6 linked regions of the Ovis aries genome follow. The protein of the gene in region 2 binds, or shares a complex with, the protein of the main gene of each other region. Links are inferred from orthologs where the notes say so. Each region holds a gene or a part of one and is shown on either strand. Other genes may lie near its edges. The genes, in order: PLRG1, CRNKL1, BUD13, CWC27, DHX16 and PPIL2.

Evidence for each region.
Region 1: CRNKL1 (region 2) and PLRG1 share a complex: the UniProt entries of both Homo sapiens proteins name them as parts of the minor spliceosome. The link is inferred for Ovis aries from reciprocal best matches to the Homo sapiens genes CRNKL1 and PLRG1.
Region 3: CRNKL1 (region 2) and BUD13 share a complex: the UniProt entries of both Homo sapiens proteins name them as parts of the minor spliceosome. The link is inferred for Ovis aries from reciprocal best matches to the Homo sapiens genes CRNKL1 and BUD13.
Region 4: CRNKL1 (region 2) and CWC27 share a complex: the UniProt entries of both Homo sapiens proteins name them as parts of the minor spliceosome. The link is inferred for Ovis aries from reciprocal best matches to the Homo sapiens genes CRNKL1 and CWC27.
Region 5: CRNKL1 (region 2) and DHX16 share a complex: the UniProt entries of both Homo sapiens proteins name them as parts of the minor spliceosome. The link is inferred for Ovis aries from reciprocal best matches to the Homo sapiens genes CRNKL1 and DHX16.
Region 6: CRNKL1 (region 2) and PPIL2 share a complex: the UniProt entries of both Homo sapiens proteins name them as parts of the minor spliceosome. The link is inferred for Ovis aries from reciprocal best matches to the Homo sapiens genes CRNKL1 and PPIL2.

What each region holds. Positions count from the first base shown.
Region 1 is NC_056070.1:3,080,058-3,083,557, reverse strand, and holds part of PLRG1 (pleiotropic regulator 1), read right to left. Parts: intron 1,316-3,500; coding exon 1,166-1,315; intron 1,076-1,165; coding exon 974-1,075; intron 637-973; coding exon 534-636; intron 1-533. UniProt on the Homo sapiens protein: Involved in pre-mRNA splicing as component of the spliceosome. Component of the PRP19-CDC5L complex that forms an integral part of the spliceosome and is required for activating pre-mRNA splicing.
Region 2 is NC_056066.1:39,178,476-39,181,975, reverse strand, and holds part of CRNKL1 (crooked neck-like protein 1), read left to right. Parts: intron 1-1,558; coding exon 1,559-1,711; intron 1,712-2,341; coding exon 2,342-2,433; intron 2,434-3,224; coding exon 3,225-3,383; intron 3,384-3,500. UniProt on the Homo sapiens protein: Involved in pre-mRNA splicing process. As a component of the minor spliceosome, involved in the splicing of U12-type introns in pre-mRNAs.
Region 3 is NC_056068.1:27,154,194-27,157,693, forward strand, and holds part of BUD13 (BUD13 homolog), read right to left. Parts: intron 2,871-3,500; coding exon 2,142-2,870; intron 501-2,141; coding exon 196-500; intron 1-195. UniProt on the Homo sapiens protein: Involved in pre-mRNA splicing as component of the activated spliceosome. As a component of the minor spliceosome, involved in the splicing of U12-type introns in pre-mRNAs.
Region 4 is NC_056069.1:14,570,939-14,573,721, forward strand, and holds part of CWC27 (spliceosome-associated protein CWC27 homolog), read right to left. Parts: intron 1,484-2,783; coding exon 1,099-1,483; 3' UTR 1-1,098. UniProt on the Homo sapiens protein: As part of the spliceosome, plays a role in pre-mRNA splicing. Probable inactive PPIase with no peptidyl-prolyl cis-trans isomerase activity. As a component of the minor spliceosome, involved in the splicing of U12-type introns in pre-mRNAs.
Region 5 is NC_056073.1:27,451,630-27,455,720, reverse strand, and holds the start of DHX16 (pre-mRNA-splicing factor ATP-dependent RNA helicase DHX16), read right to left. Parts: upstream 2,801-4,091; 5' UTR 2,645-2,800; coding exon 2,438-2,644; intron 1,101-2,437; coding exon 850-1,100; intron 767-849; coding exon 604-766; intron 311-603; coding exon 254-310; intron 1-253. UniProt on the Homo sapiens protein: Required for pre-mRNA splicing as a component of the spliceosome. Contributes to pre-mRNA splicing after spliceosome formation and prior to the first transesterification reaction.
Region 6 is NC_056070.1:72,121,805-72,125,304, forward strand, and holds part of PPIL2 (RING-type E3 ubiquitin-protein ligase PPIL2), read right to left. Parts: intron 2,980-3,500; coding exon 2,904-2,979; intron 2,597-2,903; coding exon 2,490-2,596; intron 2,333-2,489; coding exon 2,243-2,332; intron 2,053-2,242; coding exon 2,019-2,052; intron 1,600-2,018; coding exon 1,482-1,599; intron 117-1,481; coding exon 60-116; intron 1-59. UniProt on the Homo sapiens protein: Has a ubiquitin-protein ligase activity acting as an E3 ubiquitin protein ligase or as an ubiquitin-ubiquitin ligase promoting elongation of ubiquitin chains on substrates.

The sequences.
Region 1 (3,500 bases), on a different chromosome or scaffold from region 2:
ATTCTTTCAAAATACCTGGTTGATTTTAATTATTAAATGTAATCAACGCTTAATCTGAAGAGCCAGAACAACTGTGAAGACAAATGCATAACGTCATTCCTAGTGGAGAGGAAGGCAAAGACTCTCATGATTATTTGAACAAAACAAGGGAAGGAATTATTTTCTAGTCTTGAAGATTCATTGCTATTAACCATATTTTAAGCAAAGCAAGACTCAGATCAGTCCTAAAAGTCAGGGGTAGTGCGTCTTCTAACATTAATTTCTTAGACTGCTAATTTTGAAAGTATAAAACAGCACTTAGTTGTATCTAACAGCACTACTTTCTAGTCAGACATTACATGATACAAAGATTCTATGATATATAAAACTTATGATATAAAAACAGAATTAAATGTTACCACAATAAATTTCAAGTGCACACAGAAACACTAAATATACAACACAAAGCAAGAATCAGAGTAAACATAAGAAGTATATAACCATAATGCATCCTGATATGAATATACCGTAAACTTGAGAAGTATGGATCATACCAGTGATAATTTGTGGTTCCGCAGCCTGACACCTCACTGTAGCCACCGCATTAGTATGTCCAGATAATGTGTGTACACTGGCTTTAGTTCTCACATCCCAAATCTATAAAAACAGCACACAATACCTCAATGAAAACAGGTATTCCTATCTTCAGGCAAGTAACAAGATCAATTCAAGCATGGGAATTGACTAGAAAACTGTGTGGACCTGTCTGAATAGAATGAAGAAAGTGTGTAAATGAAATAACCTGTCACATTTCGGGGGCAGGCGCCCAACAGTGGACATGGCGAGGCCACAGAGCTGGGGATGAAGACTAGGAGGGATACTGACGGGTCAAAGTAAGGATCTTGAAATTCTCTATCCAGAAACACAGACCTCAGGATCGAGCCAGCACCCTGCAGGAGGCCGTGTATGCACAGACGGGCTCCAGTGCACTCACCCGTGCGGTTGAGTCTCGGCTACAGGTCACCAGCACATCGATGGTCGGGTGCAAATCCAAGCCGTACACGGCACTCAGATGTCCATGATAGTGCCTTATAACCTAAAAAAGAAGGGAGGAGAGTTAACATATCTGTAACTGGGAAGATAAACAGGGGCTCATGATGATTTCTGTCCTCAACTCCACACATACCTTATTATACTCGAGATCCCAGCATTTGACTTGCTTGTCTTCTCCACAGGAGAACAGGTACGGGCTCCTCGTGCTCACTATCACACCACGTACTGTGCTTATGTGCCCAGTTAACGAGAGTTTCAACTTGCCACTAGCCAAGTCCCAGATCTGCAATCAAAAAATGCTTAATTTTATTCTTGCTGATTATTTCAAAGCAAATGTTTAGAATCTTAATGTGAAAATTGTCTTCAAAAGTGAAAGACAAAAACATATAAAAATATCAAAGTTTGCAAAATAACTCTATCACCAAAAATAAAAACAGGAGAAAGAGAATTAAAAGGCATGCTCAAACTGGGAAGGTATTTGCATAGATGACAAAAAGTCCTTAATATATAAAGGGTATTGAGCCAAAGAATGAATACTGAGGTATTAAATTAGTCAAGGATGGCATCAACTTAAAAAAAAAATCCTGCAAAGTAGCAAATAAAGTATTAAAAAGTTCAACCTCACTACAAATTTTATATATAGTTTTCCTTTTTAAAGATTAGATATTCCTTTCTACTTATATTAGTGTGCTAAGTTGCTTCAGTCACGTTCAACTCTTTGCGACTCTATGGTCTGTAGCCTGCCACGCTCCTCTGTCCATGGGATTCTCCAGGCGAGAAACTGGACTGGGTTGCTATGCCCTCCTCCAGGGGATCTTCCCAACTCTGGGATCAAACCCACATCTCCTACACTGCAGGCGGATTCCTTACCGCTGAGCCACCAGGGGAGCCCATCATATTAGTAGGTATTTTCGAAGAAACGTAAGTAATGTCCTGAAAAGGATCCTCTCATATGCTGTAAGCATCAATTCACCCAGTTTGGAAAATAATTTAACTTTTGGATATCAACTTCAAGAATGTCTGACCTTTTAATACTTTTTCTGGCAAACAAGAACAAAGCAATACAGAAAATACAGAAAAACAATACAGAAAATTTAAAATACAGAAAAAGCTTTCAGTTCAGTTCAGTCACTAGTTGTGCCCGACTCTTTGCGACCCCATGAATCACAGCACGCCAGGCCTCCCTGTCCATTACCAACTCCAGGAGTTCACTCAGACTCACATCCATCGAGTCAGTGATGCCATCCAGCCATCTCATCCTCTGTCGTCCCCTTCTCCTCCTGCCCCCAATCCCTCCCAGCATCAGAGTCTTTTCCAATGAGTCAACTCTTCGAATGAGGTGGCCAAAGTACTGGAGTTTCAGCTTTAGCATCATTCCTTCCAAAGAACACCCAGGGCTGATTTCCTGCAGAATGGACTGGTTGGATCTCCTTGCAGTCCAGGGGACTCTCAAGAGTCTTCTCCAACACCACAGTTCAAAAGCATCAATTCTTCAGTGCTCAGCTTTCTTCACAATCCAACTCTAGCATCTATACATGACCACTGGAAAAACCATAGCCTTGACTAGATGGACCTTTGTTGGCAAAGTAATGTCTCTGCTTTTGAATATGCTATCTAGGTTGGTCATAACTTTCCTTCCAAGGAGTAAGCGTCTTTTAATTTCGTGGCTGCAGTCACCATCTGCAGTGATTTTGGAGCCCAGAAAAATAAAGTCTGACAGTTTCCACTGTTTCCCCATCTATTTCCTGTGAGGTGATGGGACCAGATGCCATGATCTTCGTTTTCTGAATGTTGAGTTTTAAGCCAACTTTTTCACTCTTCTCCTTCACTGTCATCAAGAGGCTCTTTAGTTCCTCTTCACTTTCTGCCATAAGGGTGGTATCATCTGTATATCTGAGGTTACTGATATTTCTCCTGGCAATCTTGATTCCAGCTTGTGCTTCTTCCAACCCAGCGTTTCTCATGATGTACTCTGCATATAAGTTAAATAAGCAGGGTGACAATATACAGCCTTGATGTACTCCTTTTCCTATTTGGAGCCAGTCTGTTGTTCCATGTCTAGTTCTAACTGTTGCTTCCTGACCTGCATATAGGTTTCTCAACAGGCAGGTCAGGTGGTCTGGTATTCCCATCTCTTCCAGAATTTTCCACAGTTTATTGTGATCCACACAGTCAAAGGCTTTGGCATAGTCAATAAAGCAGAAATAGATGTTTTTCTGGAGCTCTCTTGCTTTTTCCATGATCCGGTGGATGTTGGCAATTTGATCCCTGGTTCCTCTGCCTTTTCTAAAACCAGCTTGAACATCTGGAAGTTCACGGATCACATACTGCTGAAGCCTGGCTTGGAGAATTTTCAGCACTACTTTACTAGCATATGAGATGAGTGCGATTGTGCAGTACTTTGAGCATTCTATGGCATTGCCTTTCTTTGGAACTGGAATGGAAACTGACCTTTTCCAGTCCTGTGG
Region 2 (3,500 bases):
CTTTGCCCTGCTTCATTCCACATTCCAAGGCCAAATTTGCCTGTTACTCCAGGTGTTTCTTGACTTCCTACTTTTGCATTCCAGTTCCCTATAATGAAAAGGACATCTTTTTTGGGTGTTAGTTCTAAAAGGTCTTGTAGGTCTTCATAGAACCGTTCAACTTCAGCTTCTTCAGCATTACTGGTTGGGCATAGACTTGGATTACCAAGATGTTGAATGGTTTGCCTTGGAAACGAACAGAGACCATTAAAAATACTGCATGTCGGACTCTTTTGTTGACCATGATTGCTACTCCATTACTTCTGAGGGATTCCTGCCTGCAGTAGTAGATATAATGGTCATCTGAGTTAAATTCACCCATTCCAGTCCATTTTAGTTCGCTGATTCCTAGAATGTCGACGTTCACTCTTGCCATCTCTTGTTTGACCACTTCCAATTTGCCTTGATTCATGGACCTGACATTCCAGGTTTCTATGCAATATTGCTCTTTACAGCATCGGACCTTGCTTCTATCACCAGTCACATCCACAGCTGGATATTGTTTTTGCTCTGGCTTCATCCCTTCATTCTTTCTGGAGTTATTTCTCCACTGATCTCCAGTAGCATATTGGGCACTGACTGACCTGGGGAGTTCCTCGTTCAGTATCCTATCATTTTGCCTTTTCATACTGTTCATGGGGTTCTCAAGGCAAGAATACTGAAGTGGTTTGCCATTGCCTTCTCCAGTGGGTTAATACTTAGCGAATGCTTAATATGTGACAGCATTTGTCCTAAACGTTTGCACATACTCTTCCCTCACGTCTTTCTCCATCTCAGATGACTCTCTAGAGCCTGTCCTTTAGGTCCCGTTTGGATGATTCCGGGAGAGAGTGCATAGAAAGCACTCAGCACAGTTTCTGGCACTTAATGTTCATTAGATAGGCGCCCTCAGCATCGTCATTGCACACATGGCATTAAATACTTAGTATTTCTTATAGTTCAGTTCCATAAACTTCTGTTGGGCTCCACAGTTCCCATAAAAATTTAATGTAATTTTAAGTTTTGTCATAGCTACAGTAAAAAAAAAAAAAAGGTCAAAACAGGTGACATGAATTTTAATTATATGATAGGAACTTACTGAATACGTCTTTGACTTGAAATGCCATGAAAAATCAAAGACGGTTATCCACCTGGGGCCAAGGCAGAAATTGAAGGATTCTGCAAATAGAGGTTGAAATGCCAGTTAAGGCATGGTGCACATCTTGATAAGACGTCCGGTTAGAGTTTTACCTAGGCATCCTCAAAATTTATTATACTATTCTAAAAGAGAAATGTTGTTTTTGCGACCTTTCCTCTTGAGACTTTTATCTATGGCTTTGTGATAAATACCTTGCATGAAATTTAAAAGTTTGTGGTTTTGTTTTTTTTTTAGTTTCATAGAGAAATGGGAGCATGTCATGCAAAGGGGGCATCTTGTAATAGCGTTCATAAAGTTCACATTCTAAAAAAAGTTCATTTGTTTCTTACACGTTGTGTGAAAAGCATCTGCTAAAAATGGAAATGTCTCCTGTGTTAAAAGGTGAAAAACAAAGCCCCAGCTGAAGTACAGATCACTGCGGAGCAACTGCTAAGAGAAGCTAAGGAGAGAGAACTTGAGCTTCTTCCACCTCCCCCTCAACAGAAGATCACAGATGAAGAGGAGTTAAACGATTACAAACTACGGAAGAGGAAGGTTGGTCTGTTTCAGTCTGTCAATATCATTAAGAATTTATAGACCAGAGTTTGAAAAGTTCCTCACTGATAAGAGACTATAAACTAAGAAGAATTTAGTGTTTCTGGCCACCTGCGTAATGTGACTTCTGCTCACCAAGTGGTTCCATTATCGCTAAACTTCATAAAATAACCACGAGTTGTCTGTCTTACATTAAATCCACCACGGACAGAATTTTTAGTGCTGAATCAAAGACGGGTGGGAGTTTGCCAGGCAGAACAACTGACAGCTGAGGAGGGGCAGAAGCAGTGAGGTTGCGCCATGTTCTTCTGTCTGTAGCGGCCTTCTGTGCTGAGAGGTAACACCTGGGCTAGAGCCAAGAGGACCTGGGGATCTGATCCAACCTCCCCCACCCCAGGATGTGGGATTATTTTTTTTTAAATCCTCTTTGTTTGCCTATAAGATTTTAAAGAAACACTTGTGACTTTAACCTTCTTCAGTGGGTTTCTTATCTCTCAAGGATCCCAGGATGTAATTTCTCTTAAATAAGAGCAAAATGAATAAATTTCTTAGTACAAGGGTTAATAGACAAAAGACAATGTCATCTTTAGTTGTTTTCCGTTTAATTTGACCCTTTTTGCCTTTTGCCAGACTTTCGAAGATAACATAAGAAAAAACAGGACTGTGATTAGTAACTGGATAAAATATGCACAATGGGAAGAGAGTCTAAAGGAGATTCAGAGGTAAAGTCACTGAGCATGTAACTCTGTAAATAGAAATCCTTAAGTTACCAGATACAAAAACACAGAAGTTAAAGCAAGTGTAAAACCGTGTGCCTCTGATAATAATAAAATAAAAATTTATAGAGTTTGTTCCTTGGGACCCTAGGGTTCCTTTGAGGGGCCTCAGGAGCGCTATGGTGGGCTGGTCCTGCGCGGGGAACAGTGAAGCAGGCTCTCCAGGTGGGTCTCATCACCAGCACACACTCTGCAGCCAGAGAAGTGCAGTTCCATCCATTTTCTCCATATTAGGAAATTCGTTTTTGTTTTTTTTTTTTTTTTTAAGAGTTAATGTTCCACTCAAAACCAGTGGCCAACAAAATGAAATCATGACCTGACCCTTCCTGTTGTCCCACCTTCCTGTGTTCTCCCTACTGGCCAGGCCCAGAACTCACCGCGTCTCCTCACCCTGATGCCAGCAGGGACCCCCCCCCTCCCCACTTATCTTGGTACTGGGGACTTTGCCCAAGTTCTCACCTACTGCTTAACTAACTTTTCCACTTGACATTTTTCTTTCTTTCCGCTCTGCTTCCTTGTGCAGACCTTCACTGTAACATCACATTGCATTGCAGTTACATGTATGTCAGCCTTTCTCTAAAACTTACAAGGTTCCTGAGAACATAATATCTTTTCACCTTTTTATGCCCAGAACGTCACTCACAGTAAACACCTGAAAAAATAGCCGAGCCTTGGAGGGGGTTGCCAGGTGTGTGGCGTGTGCTGTAACTGATATCCTCCAAATCTGGCTTCTCAAGGGCTCGATCCATATATGAACGCGCCTTGGATGTGGACTACCGAAATATTACACTATGGCTGAAATATGCCGAAATGGAAATGAAGAATCGCCAGGTCAACCACGCCCGGAATATCTGGGACCGAGCCATAACAACTCTGCCTCGAGTCAACCAGTTCTGGTAAGTTCCTGATCTAATGAAATGGCTTTTTGTAGACTGTATTTGCACATTTTTGTGTGTACATGTGTTTACATTTATTTATTTATTTGGCTGCATCGACTCTTAGTTGCGGTATGT
Region 3 (3,500 bases), on a different chromosome or scaffold from region 2:
AAAGGCAGATGCTATTTAGGAAATCTGCTCCTTGCAAGTTCCCCTGGACTGAGTCAGACAGTCTTGCCTTCAGAGAGAAGAAAAGCGCTCTAGAGGTCCTGTGAGCTAGATTTCTCTGGCCTGGATCTCTGAGACCTGTACAGAGCTAGGAGATGAGTTCCTCTAAACCAAGACATGGCTCCTGAAAGTTCTTACCTTCTTTCCCAGAGGCTGGCTCCTTCGAGGTGGAGACAGATCAGAATCAGAAGATTTGGCCCTCTGCCTTCTCCTTGGTGGAGAGAGGTCAGAATCAGAGCTCCGATGCCTAGGTCTATTCCGCGGAGGTGACAGATCGGAATCGGAATCCTGGGGCCCTGAACTCTGTTTGTGCCGTGGAGGAGAAAGATCTGAATCAGAGGTTTTCCTACTGTCCCCTGGGTAGGAAGAAGAGTCCAATGTGTGACTCTGATGTTTCCTGGGTGGAGAGCTTGTATGATGTTTCTTATGGGTGGGGGAAGAGCCTAGAAATTGAAGAGTAAAGATTTTAATCCCCTTGGCAGAATCTAAAAAATAATGTACCAGGCTAATGTTCAACATTCATTTAGTCCTCTTGTGAGGAACTATCACTAACCTAAACGTAAGTATAAATGACAAGGGGGAAGAGCAAAGTCAGAGATAACTTTTAAAACCAATGGGTGGGGTTCTATTCCCAAGTTACTAGTTACTAGCACTAGTTACTGTGACTAGCACAAGACATCTCAACATCCTCATCTGTGCCCTATTTACCCACACATAGAGTGGCCAAAACAAACTGAACTCAGGGCTCAGTGGCGTTGTTAGTCGCTCAGTCGTATCCGACTCTTTGAAACCCCATGGACTGTGGTCCTCCAGGCTCCTCTTCCATGGAATCTTCCAGGCAAGAATACTGGAGTGGGTTGCCATTCCCTTTTCCAAGGGATCGTCCTGATCCAGGGATTGAACCCAAGTATTCCACATTGCAGGCAGATTCTTTTACTATCTGAGCCACCCAGGAAGCCCTAGCAAGTTAAGATGACCTAGAATATATTAGAATATATTCTGGGTTTCCCTGGTGGCGCAGATGGTAAAGAATCTGCCCGAATGCAGGAGACCCAGCTTTGATCCCTGGGTCACGAAGATCCCCTGGAGGAGGAAGTGACAACTCACTCCAGTATTCTACTGGAGAATTCATGGACAGAAGAGCCTGGTGGGCTACGGTCAGAAAGAGTCAAACACAAGTGAGTGACTAACACACACACACAGAATATATTCTGAGGTCTTCTGACTAAAACATAACAATGTATTTGAATTAAAAACTAAAGCAGTACCTAGGGACAAACGATGGAGCAAACAAGTTTCATCACACAGGTGAGCTGTAGACATAGGCATCACAAATCACCTCCTCCAAAGGCAATCTGCAATACCTATCAACAGTCCTATAAGCAAAGAACCCGGCTGAGCCAGCAAATCAATTTCTACTTTGTACCCTAGGAAACGTATCTAGCAGCACTTCAATTCCCAGAAAGTCTATCTAGAAATAGATACGGAAATCCAGAACAGAGCAACAGTTTGTGTATAAGGATGTTCATTACAGAATTACAGAGGAAAAGGTTTAGAAATAACCTAAAATATGCAATATTAGGGGAATGGTTACTGGAACACCAACAAAAACTATATTAACAAAGAGATATTTTATGACTCAGGAAAGATAATGCTAAGTGAAAAAAGCAAGCAAGATTACACATGCAATATTTACTTACTGCCTAGACACGTCCAAACTACATCAAAAATGATTAGAAAAGAAGACTAAAAGAACACTGGCTACAAGAGAGAGACTGCCTCTGACTGGACAGAATTGTGTGTGATCCTTTTCTACATTTCTATACATTCCAAAGTTTCTGCAACAAACATGTAGTATTTTCATGGGGTGGGGAAAATGAACAAAAAAATATATATATAAACTTCTACCCTACTACTATTAATTTTTAACTCTCTTCAGCCCAATCTCTCACTATTTCCCTCCAGTTTTTAAAACTCCAAAGCTCCATTCTCATTTCTAAAGACCACAAATACCTAGTAAAGCAACTAAAAGTTCCAAAAGAAAGCACTCTAGGAACAAGTCCCTCTCATGGACAAATGCTCACCTTTAGAATCATGTTGCTTACTTCCAACATGGGATGTTGCCTGCTTTTTTCGTGAAGGAGAGAGGTCTGAGTCATACTCATATTTGCTATTCTTTGGGAGTGATGGATGAGAAGGTCCTGGCCCCTTCCAATGTGGAGAAGTTTTGCTAGAGCTTTCTGGGGCTTCACTGCTTTTGGTTCTGAGCAGTGAGTGAGGAACATTAGCAGCCAAGTCAGTGGAATTATGATGGGCCCTCCTGAGCTGTGATCTATCCACAGAGTCAAGAGTCCTTCTAGGTTGAGCTGTGTCAGGGGAGCAATTACGGGCCCTTCTGGCAGGAGAGAGATCTGAGAAACTGTGGTAGGTCCTCCTAGGAGAAGATGAATCTGGGATGTCATGACGGGTCCTTCTAGGAGGAGATGGATCTGGGGTATCATGACGAACCTTCCTAGGAGGGGAAGAATCCGGAGTGTCATGACGAACCTTCCTAGGAGGAGATGAATCCGGGGTGTCATGACGGGCCTTCCTAGGAGGAGATGGATCCGGGGTGTCATGACGAACCTTCCTAGGAGGAGATGGATCCGGGGTGTCATGACGAACTCTTCTAGGAGGAGATGGATCTGGGGTGTCATGACGAACTCTTCTAGGAGGAGATGGATCTGGGGTGTCATGACGAACCTTCCTAGGAGGAGATGAGTCCGGGATGTCATGACAGAACTGTCTGTGTGAGGGTATATCTTCACTCTGGCCTAAACACAAATAGCAAAGAATCAGATTCCCACAAATGCTCTGCCACCCCTACAACCAAAGTTTCAAAAAACACCCCAGCAGGATACATCTCAAAACTACTAAGAAAGCCCAAAAGATACGCACAGCTACTTCAGGGCAATAAAGTAGCACTCATGAATATCCTAAGAAAAACCACTCACGTTTGCCTAACAGGTCATAATCTGCAAGGCACTTTAAATGTATTTTTCATGTTGTATCTTGTTAGGCAAGCAGGGCAGGTACCCTTGTTTTACAGACATGAAAACAGAGACCCTAAGAAGCTGAGTGGTCTCCTACCTAGGGGTCACTGCTACTAAAACGAAGAGACAGGCTAGAACCCTGAACTTCTAATCCCAATCCAGTGCTCTTCCCCAAACCTTACTTGTATGGAATTCTCCATGAGAAGCTCCCACTGATATCTAACTTAGGCAATTCAGTTTGCACCCACTCTTCTCTCAAAAGGCAAACTGAATAATTCCATGCCACATCAAAATGAAATCCTGTGAGCTATTTAATCCATGCCATTGTGCTCCTTATCAAAAGCAGCAAGAGCACCAGAAAGAAAGAAGGATCAGCACTTTACTGATCACCTGCTGCATGCCCATGTCTAT
Region 4 (2,783 bases), on a different chromosome or scaffold from region 2:
ATATTCTAAAAGTTCCTAAGGGTTTTCTTTTGTAATCCTAGCTTGTCCTAATTTTCTCCCATTCCCCATGGTTGCAGATGAGATTTCAAAGTGGCAGGAGAATGCGAAGTGGGAAAGAATTACTACTCAAGTCAAAACTGCTTGAGTTACATATGAGACCCTTGATTGTTTCCAAAGCATCATTCAAAGCACAATAAAAGTAAATCTGACTTTTAATTGTTACACCTTAGGTAATGAAGGGCCCCTAATAAGGTTCTCTCAATTTATTCTCATTCCTATATCCTTTGGGGAAAAGACTTCTGAGAGTGAGTTGAGCTTAAGGCAAATGAAGCCTTAGTACCAGGAAAAAAAATTCACTAATATTTCTTGTAGCAGATTTAGTACTGCCAGAAAAGGATACCTAAGGTATTATATGTAGAGAACAAACACTGTAATCTTGATGTTATGATGGGGGACATTTCACTGATTAACTTTTTGAATAGTTTGCTATCTACTAACTTTGAAGTATTTCTTACAAAAAGATGGCTGTGGGAAGGTTATATTCAAACACACCTGGATAAATCACCCATTGTTTCGGTGAACTCAACTGTTTTTTCTATCTGATAAGTTACTCAGCCTTGGAGCACTAGAAATACTTACCAAGATCATTAATTATATTTCCCATCATGTACACACTGTGCTCGGGAAGGGCTGCCATAGCCACTGCTGTGAATTGAGAACAGACGAGCTGTCCTATTTGTCTTCCGCACTTCTAGCTTGATTGCATAGGTGTGCTTGACTTTATGCAGTTTCTGTGAAACATTCTGCATATCACAGAACACAGTGAATTTACTTAGGCACTATTACATTAAGGAAGGACTAAGAGATGTGTAATAAAAAATTTAATCCACGTTTTACCATTTTAAAATTGCATTTCCAATAGATGTATTTCATTCTCTAGCTTTCTGCTTTAGGGCAGCATCTAAGTCTGATTTTCAGGAAACAGGCATCAGAATTGTTGGGGAAGTTTGTTAAAAATCTAACAGAAAAAGCAACAGATGCTTGGGCTCCCACCCCAGATCAACAGACTTGTCATTTCTGAGGCCTGGGAAATTGATTTTAACAAGTTTCCTGACCCTTCCACCTCCCCCATGGTGATTTGGAGCACAGCAATATATTTATGGTCTCACATTCTGTGTTGTTTCTCTGGTGGGGGGAGGAGGAAGGAGAGAGAGATGGGAGGGGAGAGAGAGGGAAAGAGAAAGAGAGAAATTCTCGGTTTTGCTCTAAACCATGAACAAAGAGAGAGTAACCTCTGTTGACAGGCAGAGGATGAGATGGTTGGATGGCATCACTGATCCAATGGACATGGGTTTGAGCAAGCTCCGGCAGATGGTGAGGGACTGGCCGGCCTGGCGTGCTGCAGTCCATGGGGCTGCAAGAGTCGGACACAACTGAACGACTGAACAACAGCAACAAGCCTCTGTTGATGGTTTCTTGCCTCCTGAAATGAACAAGGAAACAGTTGAAGAAATCCTGGGTGTTTTTGTAAAGGGCACGCACTGGTTGTGTGGGCTGATAAACCTGGGGCTGAAAACATTTGAAACTGCAAATTTTCAAAACCATGAATATTTGGAATTTTTAAAAATAAATAGGAGCACACTACCATAGTTACCATAGTTTGGATCCTAGTAATTTAGAGTATGTGACTCTTTATCGAGATAAAATCTGCAGAATATCCAAACCAAGAGTCAATGTTCCAAGGTTTCATAAATTTAGGACTTTAAAAGATATATAAATTCTTGAATTCAGCCATTAGTTGTGCCTGTTAACAGGCTTTTATAATGCTTAACTAGGTAATATAGGTACTATATTTATAATTTCTCTTAATCTCATCTAATTTAGTCATACCTCTATAGATCTTAGTTTACATGATATACAGTATAAAGGCAAATTACATCAAAATATTGTCTTTTTTGGCTGAAGTTGTGTCTACCTAATGGTCTTAATCTAGCATTCTCAATCCTTGCATGAAATTGGATTTGAAGGGAAATCATTTAGGTGGCTCTAAAAGGAACAGGGAACCTGGCATAAGAGTTGTGTTTGTGGTCTCCAACCAGGTTCCCTCCGCCTGCAGGCCTGGCTCTGGCCTCTGGATGGAGGTGCGTGGGGGAGGTCTCTTGGGGATCCCGGCTTGGTTTACTACTGTGGCGAGGCTGACGGCAGCTGCTTTCCCAGGCCTGGAGGCTTCCACCCTTGGGGTGATGTGCAGTTTCACCCCCTTGTCTAGCCCATCATGACTTCCTGTTCTTTCTCTGTAATGTTTTTCAGATCCGCTCCTTCCTGTTTCTTTCCCCCGCCTGATTCTGGTCCAGGCTCTAATTACCTCACACACACCTGCACTCTACTCACACATCCTCTTTCCTGTCTACAACTTTTCCTCTCACCATATTTTTTCCTTCACATGGTTGTTAGCATCCTCTTCCTTAAGCATCCTTTCCATCACACGCCTCTTCCAGCAGCTCCCAGTTGCATCAAATGCAAGCTCCAGTCCTCCCTCACTGCCCAGACCATTATCTCCTTGACAGCTGGACCCCACTCCAGCCAAACAAATGTCCTGACACGATGTCTCTACAATGCTGCAACATCTGGTTAATTCAGTCAACTCTGTCAAATCTTCAGTTAATCATCTGGATGTTTTGTCTACAGGACGCCAAACATCTGGATTGACTGAAGAAATCTATGCTGATAGGGTTGTTGTTTTTTTTTAAACTGAATTGGCCAGATGTTTTGGCATCCTGTAG
Region 5 (4,091 bases), on a different chromosome or scaffold from region 2:
CCTTTTGAGTACACCTCTTTAAGTCCCAGGAACAGGGAAATACTTCCCTCACTAACATACAGTCTGATCTGATCCTAAGGAGTCAGAGGGTTTCTGGGCCACTTCCTTCCCACTACAGTTTAAGTCTATCCTTAGCTGGCGCCTCAACCAGAGACCCAACAGCCCCACCACACCTCCTCTGCATCTTTCCTCCCTACCCTAACCACTCCATCAGGAAGCCTTTCCCTTTGTCTTCCTGGGCACACGGACTCACCATGGCTTTCCGGTCTTCCTCAGCCATCTTGAGGCGCTTCTGAGCCTCTTCGTAAGCCTAGGAGAAGGCAAGAGTGGTCAAAGTCCCCGTGCCCACAGCCATTCCTGTCTAGAATCACAAGGATCACTCAGATGTTCCCTAGCACAAAGAAATGTACCCCCTTCACTGAGGAATCTCTGTGGTTACAGGTTCAGCAGAGAGCCACCTTAGCCCAAAGACCCAAAGAGATGACCAGACTACTGGAGGCGGCTCCTTGTCTTCCCAGAGATCACTATCTGCGGTCACACCCAACCTCAGATCGGATCCAGGGGTCTGCCTGGGGACTGATGGGAAGTGCTGCTCCAATGCACCTTCTTGTCTGACCGCTCCAGGACGTTGCGAGTCCGATCCTTGTCCCGCTGCCGAACCCGCTCAGCGAATGCATCGCGTTCCTCCAGGTCCTGAAGGCGCTCTCGCTCTGTCCGCTCCCACTCATCCTCCGACTCCGGCTTTTCCGTCTGCTCTTTCTTCTCCCTGCAGCCCACCCCGGAGGATTAACTGAGGGCACTCAGAGGCTTCCTGTTCCATCACCCTCTCGCCCCCTACTTCTGACTTACCCTGTCTTCCTCTTTCCTTTCTCAGAAACTTGTTCCTCCTCCTCGTCTTCCTCTTCCTCCTCACGTTTCTTCCTGAGGTGTTTCCGTTTTTTCCGCTTCTTCTGGACACTGCTCCCAGCCCTGCCCACAGTCTCCTCGCTGCTCTCCTCACTGTCCTCCAACAACATATAAGAGCGGTTCTTTTCCAGCAGGGCTCGGGCCTCTCGCTCGGCTGCCCGAGCTGGCTTTTCCACCACTGCCTTCCGTGGGACCTGTCGGGAGAGAGAGAAGTCAAGGGGATGTAAGCAACTCCTGATCTCTGCCCACCTACTCTGCCCAGTTCCTAATTTAAGGAGTAACTGATCTTAAACCAGCTGTCATTCTGTCTCTTCCCCAAGGCTTCACACCATGTCCATCAGCCCGAATGGGGTCTCTCAGTTCCTAAGCCTATCCCATGCACCCCCTGCTAGGTACTAGAGATATAGGGGTAAAGAGATAAAACTTTCTGCCCTCATGGACTTTACATTCTCACACTCAATTCTCAACTGCTCAGCCTCTGTTCTTCCCGATGACTAAGTCATTCCTACCCAAGGACTGGACAAGGATTGTCCAGATTGTTTTGCAGAGCCCTGTCACGGGCCAGCACTGTAGTGGCCTCCAGAGATACCCTGGTGAACGGATTAACACAGAGCTCCTACCCTCACATCAAGTACGTTCTCATCTTTCACCAAGTGCAAATGGGACAGCCACACCAAGTTATCTGCCATGAACAAGTTCAACACTTTTAGTCTTACTGTATAATTTCTGAGCTCTTGTTCTGCAGGTTACAATTAGATGGTATGAATACAAAGACAAAAATCACAGTCTTGCCTTCCAGGAGCTCACCATTACACCTTTACTCTTCCCCTTTCTTTACCCAACAAACTCCAGATAATCTTTGGGCCTGCTTTTCTCGATCACAGCCACACCACTTCTACCCTCCCACAACACTGCCCACACATCTCTTCTATAGACTCACTCTTCGAAGGGTGGGCAACACCCAGCATCACCCGAAAACTTACAAGATTTGTTAGAAATGAAGAAATGAAGAAACCATCCCAGACCTACCGAATCGGAATCCTCATTTTAACAAAAGCCGTGGATGAATCCTAAACCTGTTTGAGAAACACTGCTCTGTAGACCCTTAGTTCAGTTCAGTTCAGTTCAGTCGCTCAGTCGTGTCCGTCTCTTTGCGACCCCATGAATCGCAGCACGCCAGGCCTCCCTGTCCATCACCAACTCCCGGAGTTCACTCAGACTCACGTCCATTGAGTCCGTGATGCCATCCAGCCATCTCATCCTCTGTCGTCCCCTTCTTCTCCTGCCCCCACCCAAACCCTCCCAGCATCAGTCTTTTCCAATGAGTCAACCCTTAAGCCCTCCTCAACCTTCTCCACGGAAGTGGTCGTCCAGCCCGAAAGTGATAACTGCTTGCAAACTGAGCTTAATTCTCCGTTGGACAGTTAGCCCAAGTGAGCCCAAACTCCGTTGGACAAGTAACCTGGGGGCCCCTCCCCTGCTCCACCCACTTTCCCGCCGCTCCCACGCCCGGTCCCGCCTCTCCCAGCACCTTGTTCCAGAGTCTCAGGGCGAAGTCCCGGGCCGGCCCACTGAGGTCCAGGGTATCGGTGTCTCGCAAGCGCTGCACGAACTCCTCTGCCGAGGCACAGCGCTGCGCGGTACCGATCAAGAACTGGGCCACGTGCCGCTCGCTCAGTCCCAGCACCGAGTGCAGCTCGTCTTGCACCCAGCGCTCCAGCCCCGCCGGTGTCGCCATGGCGACAACACGCTCCCTATTCCCGGCCCTGAAAGTGTCTCCAGCTGCCACGTCGGCGGCCGGGCGGGTCGGGGGCCTAGAGCTCCAGGATGGAGCCTCTGCTCCGGAATGGAGCTGCCTGAGAACCGAGGGGTTCGGTTTCCGATAGTCCAAAACAATCTTCCTGGACCGCTGAGGCCGGAAGTGGCTGCTCTTTTCCGGCCTATGCACTACGGTGGCCGAGCGAGTTCAAATCTCGCGTAATTGTACGCGAAGCTCGGAATAAAACATTTTCATTTCTTCCCCTACTGAATTTCTGTTGCCCTCTGTTGATCATTCGTGAGTATTACACCCATTCATTTCATTCAACTATATTAAGAACCTAAAGTGCCTGGTGGCTCAGGTGGGTAATGGCACCCCACTCCAGTACTCTTGCCTGGGAAATCCCATGGATGGAGGAGCCTGGTAGGCTGCAGTCCATGGGGTCGCGAAGAGTCGGACACGACTGAGCGACTTCACTTTCACTTTTCGCTTTCATGCATTGGAGAAGGAAATGGCAACCCACTCCAGTGTTCTTGCCTGGAGAATCCCAGGGATGGGGGAGCCTGGTGGGCTGCCCTCTATGGGGTCACACAGTCAGACACGACTGAAGCGACTTAGCAGCAGCAGCAGCAAAATGCCCGGTGGCTCAGGTAGGAAAGAATCTGCCTACAATGCAGGAGACCTAGGTTCTATCCCTGGGTGGGGAAGACCCTCTTGGAGGAGTAAATGGTAGCTCACTCCAGTGTTCTTGCCTGGCGAATTCTATGGGCAGAGGAACCTGGCCTACTACAGTCCATGGGGTCACAAAGAGTCGGACATAACTGAGCGACCAACACTTTCAGTGTGGGCCAGGCACAGTTTTAGTACCCAGGGATATAGCAAGGAACAAATCAGAAACAAATCGCTTACTGAATTTACAGTGGCAGAGGGTTGGGGGTGGGGACCAGCCTGACAGAGACAAGATAAAAATATAAAATACTAAGTTATATGGAGCCAAAAATAATGCAAGGTGTGTGTGGGCGCTTGTGGGGTGGGGCATTCAAATTAGAAGATCAGGTCCATGCTTGTTACAGATCAACTAATTAGGAGTGACCTTTGCTAGGACCTTCTGCAAGACATGAATACAGGTTAGGCTTATCAAGGACTCCAGGCAGATGAAAACTCAAGATGTGGAGAACAAGCAAAGGTACCCTCTTTTCTTGGTGCTATCTCATAATGTTATTTTAAAAGATCTGCAAACTAAGAAATATGCAAATTGTATTCTGCTTTTTTTTTCTTTTGCTAACAGCTTGAGAAAGTCACTGGTGTCTGCTTAATTTTAAATAAGCAGAACTTGTTGCTTGACTGCTGTCTGGCCTCTGGTTCTGCTTCATACTTGTACAATTAATTGGATTTATCTGACACTGTGTTGGGAAACTAAACATTT
Region 6 (3,500 bases), on a different chromosome or scaffold from region 2:
GGCCTGGCCTGGGGGAGGCGGCCACCCACCCCCAACACAGACCCTGCCCAGCGTCTTACCGCCCGAAGATGGTGTGCTTCTTGTCCAGGTAAGCGCAGGAACGGAAGGTGATGAAGCTGGGGAAGGACGGGGTGGTCAGGCAGAGCCCACGCCTCCCTACCCGCCTGCCTCAGCACCGCCAGGCCAAGCTCCCACACGGGACGGTGCACTGTCAACAGTCTCAGCCAGGACAGACACACGGACACGACCGGGAGGCTGAGCCCCCGGGGCTGCACCCACAGCCTACGGGAGGAAAACGCATGACCCATGGCAGATGCCCCAGGAGCACACGAACCCCAAAACCTCGCCTGGAGGGGCAGGCTCGCGAGCCGGGCCAGGTGACAGCGCTGCTCACCGGCCCGCACAGCCCGGCCTGGAGGGGCCTGAGTCCACCACCCCTCGAGCTGAGAACGCAAGCGTCCACAAAGCCTCGGCTCTCGGGTGAGGGCCCGAATACACGCCCCTCAGGGACGGAGCGACCGCCCCCCAGAACGAGCCAAGAGAAGCGCCGCTTCAAGCTGTCACAAACCACAAAGCCCCCCAGGAGCAGCTGCCTGCAGGAAGGCAGGGCACCCGTGAGCAGGAGCCGTGAAGTCACATTGAGAAGATAGAAGACGTCCTTGAAAAGCCGAGGCACACCCCCACATGGAGGCTCTCACGCTGCCTGATCCTCTAAAATACACGTCACGCGGCTCCAAATGGAGTCATGTCCACGCCGGAGGATAAACAACTTTAGCAAAGCAGACAGGAGACAGCGCAGGGGCCGCCCTCAGGGGCGCGGGCGCGGGAGGGCAGCCCGAAGCCCCTCCTCGTGGTTGGCGGGAGGTCCCTCTTCTGTGGGCCGCTCCCCAGGGGCCCCGCTGAAGCAGGTACAGAGAAAACCACTGGGAACAAGTCCCCCAGGCCACTGGACGGGGCCCGTCCTGCTCCACTGGTGCCTAAGACAGCCGGGGGCCAACAAGCCACGCCAGGCCGACGGGCACCCTCACCATCCGGCAGCAGCAAAGCCCTGTCCACCCATTGAGGGGCAGCTCCCAGAGGCACCGGGACCACTCAGAGACACGCCCTGTGCCCCCACGGCCTCCCAGACACGCACGAAGGCACAGCTGGGACCCCGCACAAGAGGCGGACTCCAGCGCAGGCCAAAGCACACACCCCCCACCTTCCCATGGACTGTAACATCTGGGAAAGCATCTGAAACATAGCTAAACAGCTCAGTGTCTTGAACACTCCTCCTTCCTGAGGACTGCCGTGGGGAGGCAGCGGCGAGGCTGCGGTGCAGCAGTCCCGGGCGTCCCCTGCCTCCTGCTAACAATGTCGGCCTTAGACAGGCAACGCCTAAGTGCTGGGACGGCCTCCTGGCTCGACAGACACAGGTGGGCACGACCTTGAGGGCAAGGCTGAGAGCCCGCGGAGTCCGCCCCCTGCCCCCATCAACTCACAATTGAGACTTGTTAGTGTTGGGCCCGGAGTTGGCCATGCTGAGCACCCCGCGGCCCGTGTGCGAGAGGTTGGGCCGGAACTCGTCTCTGAAGGGCTTCCCCCAGCACGACTCCCCGCCTGGAAGAGAGGCCGGAGCAGCAGGATGACCGCGACCCGAGCCCCACCCCCAGCTGCTTATGGGGCCCCAGCCCCAGCTGCCCACAGGCCCCCACCCCCAGCTGCCCGTGGGGCCCCACCCCCAGCTGCTCGTGGGGACCCAGCCCCAGCTGCCCACGGGCCCCCACCCCCAGCTGCCCGGGAGCCCCAGCCCCAGGCCCTCAGAATAAACTCCACACGAGGGAGGGTGGTCTGTCCCAAGCGGCCGGCAAGCTGGGGAGCTTTGGAGGAGCAGCCCCCAGTCGGCGGCCAGACGGGGGCCCCTGGGGGCCCGAGGCCTCGCCACAGAGGCGGAGCGAGGAAACGGGGCTGGAGGCGCAGGCTGTGGCTCTGGGCCCGCGGCGCAGCTGGCACCCCAGGGGCCCAGCGCCAGCACCCACCTGTGCCAGTGCCCGTTGGGTCGCCTCCCTGGATCTGTGGGAAGAGCACGCCAGTGAGGAGCCCCGCCATGAGCCCCCAGCTTCTGCTAGGGACAATGGGATCTCCCCCACCAGCTCGATGTGGACAGCTGGGCTGGGGCCCAAGGCCCCTGGAGACCAGGGGCTCAGCACCCCCACGGGGAGGACTCCACACCCGGGGGGGGGCAGCCGGCGTCGGCGCTCACCACGAAGTTGCGGATGGACCGGTGGAAGACGGTGCCGTCGTAGTACTGCTTCTTGCAGAGCCTGATGAAGTTCTCACAGGTTTTCGGGGTCTGCAACAGGCCGAAGGCTCCTGTGAGCCACACAGCAGCCTCGACGGTGGGAGGGGCTCCCGGGGCCCGCAGCCGGGCCTCAGCCGGTGGGCTTGGTGAGCCTGGCCACCTGCGGCGGCACTGGGCTCCCGGTGGGGGGGGGGGGGCACCCACGCACCAGATCGCAGTGCAGCTCCAGGTTGAGGTCGCCCAGGTTGGTGTGCAGCCGAACGTAGCCCTTCTTCTTCACGAACTGGTAGCGCAGCTCGTCCTCGTCAATGGCCGCTACGAGGAGACGCCTGAGCTGCCTGCCTGTCCGGGGTTGGGGACCCAGGGGGAGGGCGGGCACCAGGGGCCAACACGGGGAGAGGAGGAAGGGGCTGGGGGACGGTGGGCCCTGACCAGTGAAGACCAGCAAAGAAGGTCGCTGGGGCCTGGGCGGGGCGGCCCCCCACCCAGACACAAGCCCACTTTCAAAAGGACCCGTCCCCGCCTGACCACTAGTGAGCTGCCGGCAAGCCCACAGAGCCGAGGCGGGCAGGGGGATGCCTGTGCTCAGCCACCGCAGACAGGGAGTGGGGCTAGATACTACCTGCTTCGTGCGTGGTCTCGGGAACCATGGCGGTGGACGTGAAGGAGGCGCTGACCCTCCCGGTGGAGTAGTGGGCCTGCGGGGAAACCGCACCAGCGCTCAGCACGGGGGCCGCCCCTCTGCCCCGGGCCTGCCCTTCGCCTTTCTCCACCACCCCTGGCCGCCAGGGGGCCTCCTGGGCAGACAGTACGCCCAGCCCACGCTGGCCTCTCCCGCAGGGCCCAGGGAGAGCCGCGACCCTCGGCTTCAACCGCACCAAAAGCCTGGCTGCCAAGCCTCGTGTTAAGTGAAACCTGGAAAAGCGTGCCAGGCAGAGTGTGGGCACCTCTGAGGTTCAGAGCACCAGGCACTTGAGGGCCCTTTTAAAGGTTTCAAGGTCCTACAGGAAAAAATCATGCACGATAAAATGTCTTTTTCCTTCTAAACACACAAAAAAGAGATTTCTTCCTATCAGAAGAAAATGCATCAAAATGCTAAGAGCTGCTGTGTTAGGGAGAGCAGTGAACACCACAGCCTGTCTTCAGCACACCTACCTTCCTGGACAACTGTTCAAAGGGGGTCTCCCAGCCCCAGGCCCTGCCTGGTAGGGGCAGGGGC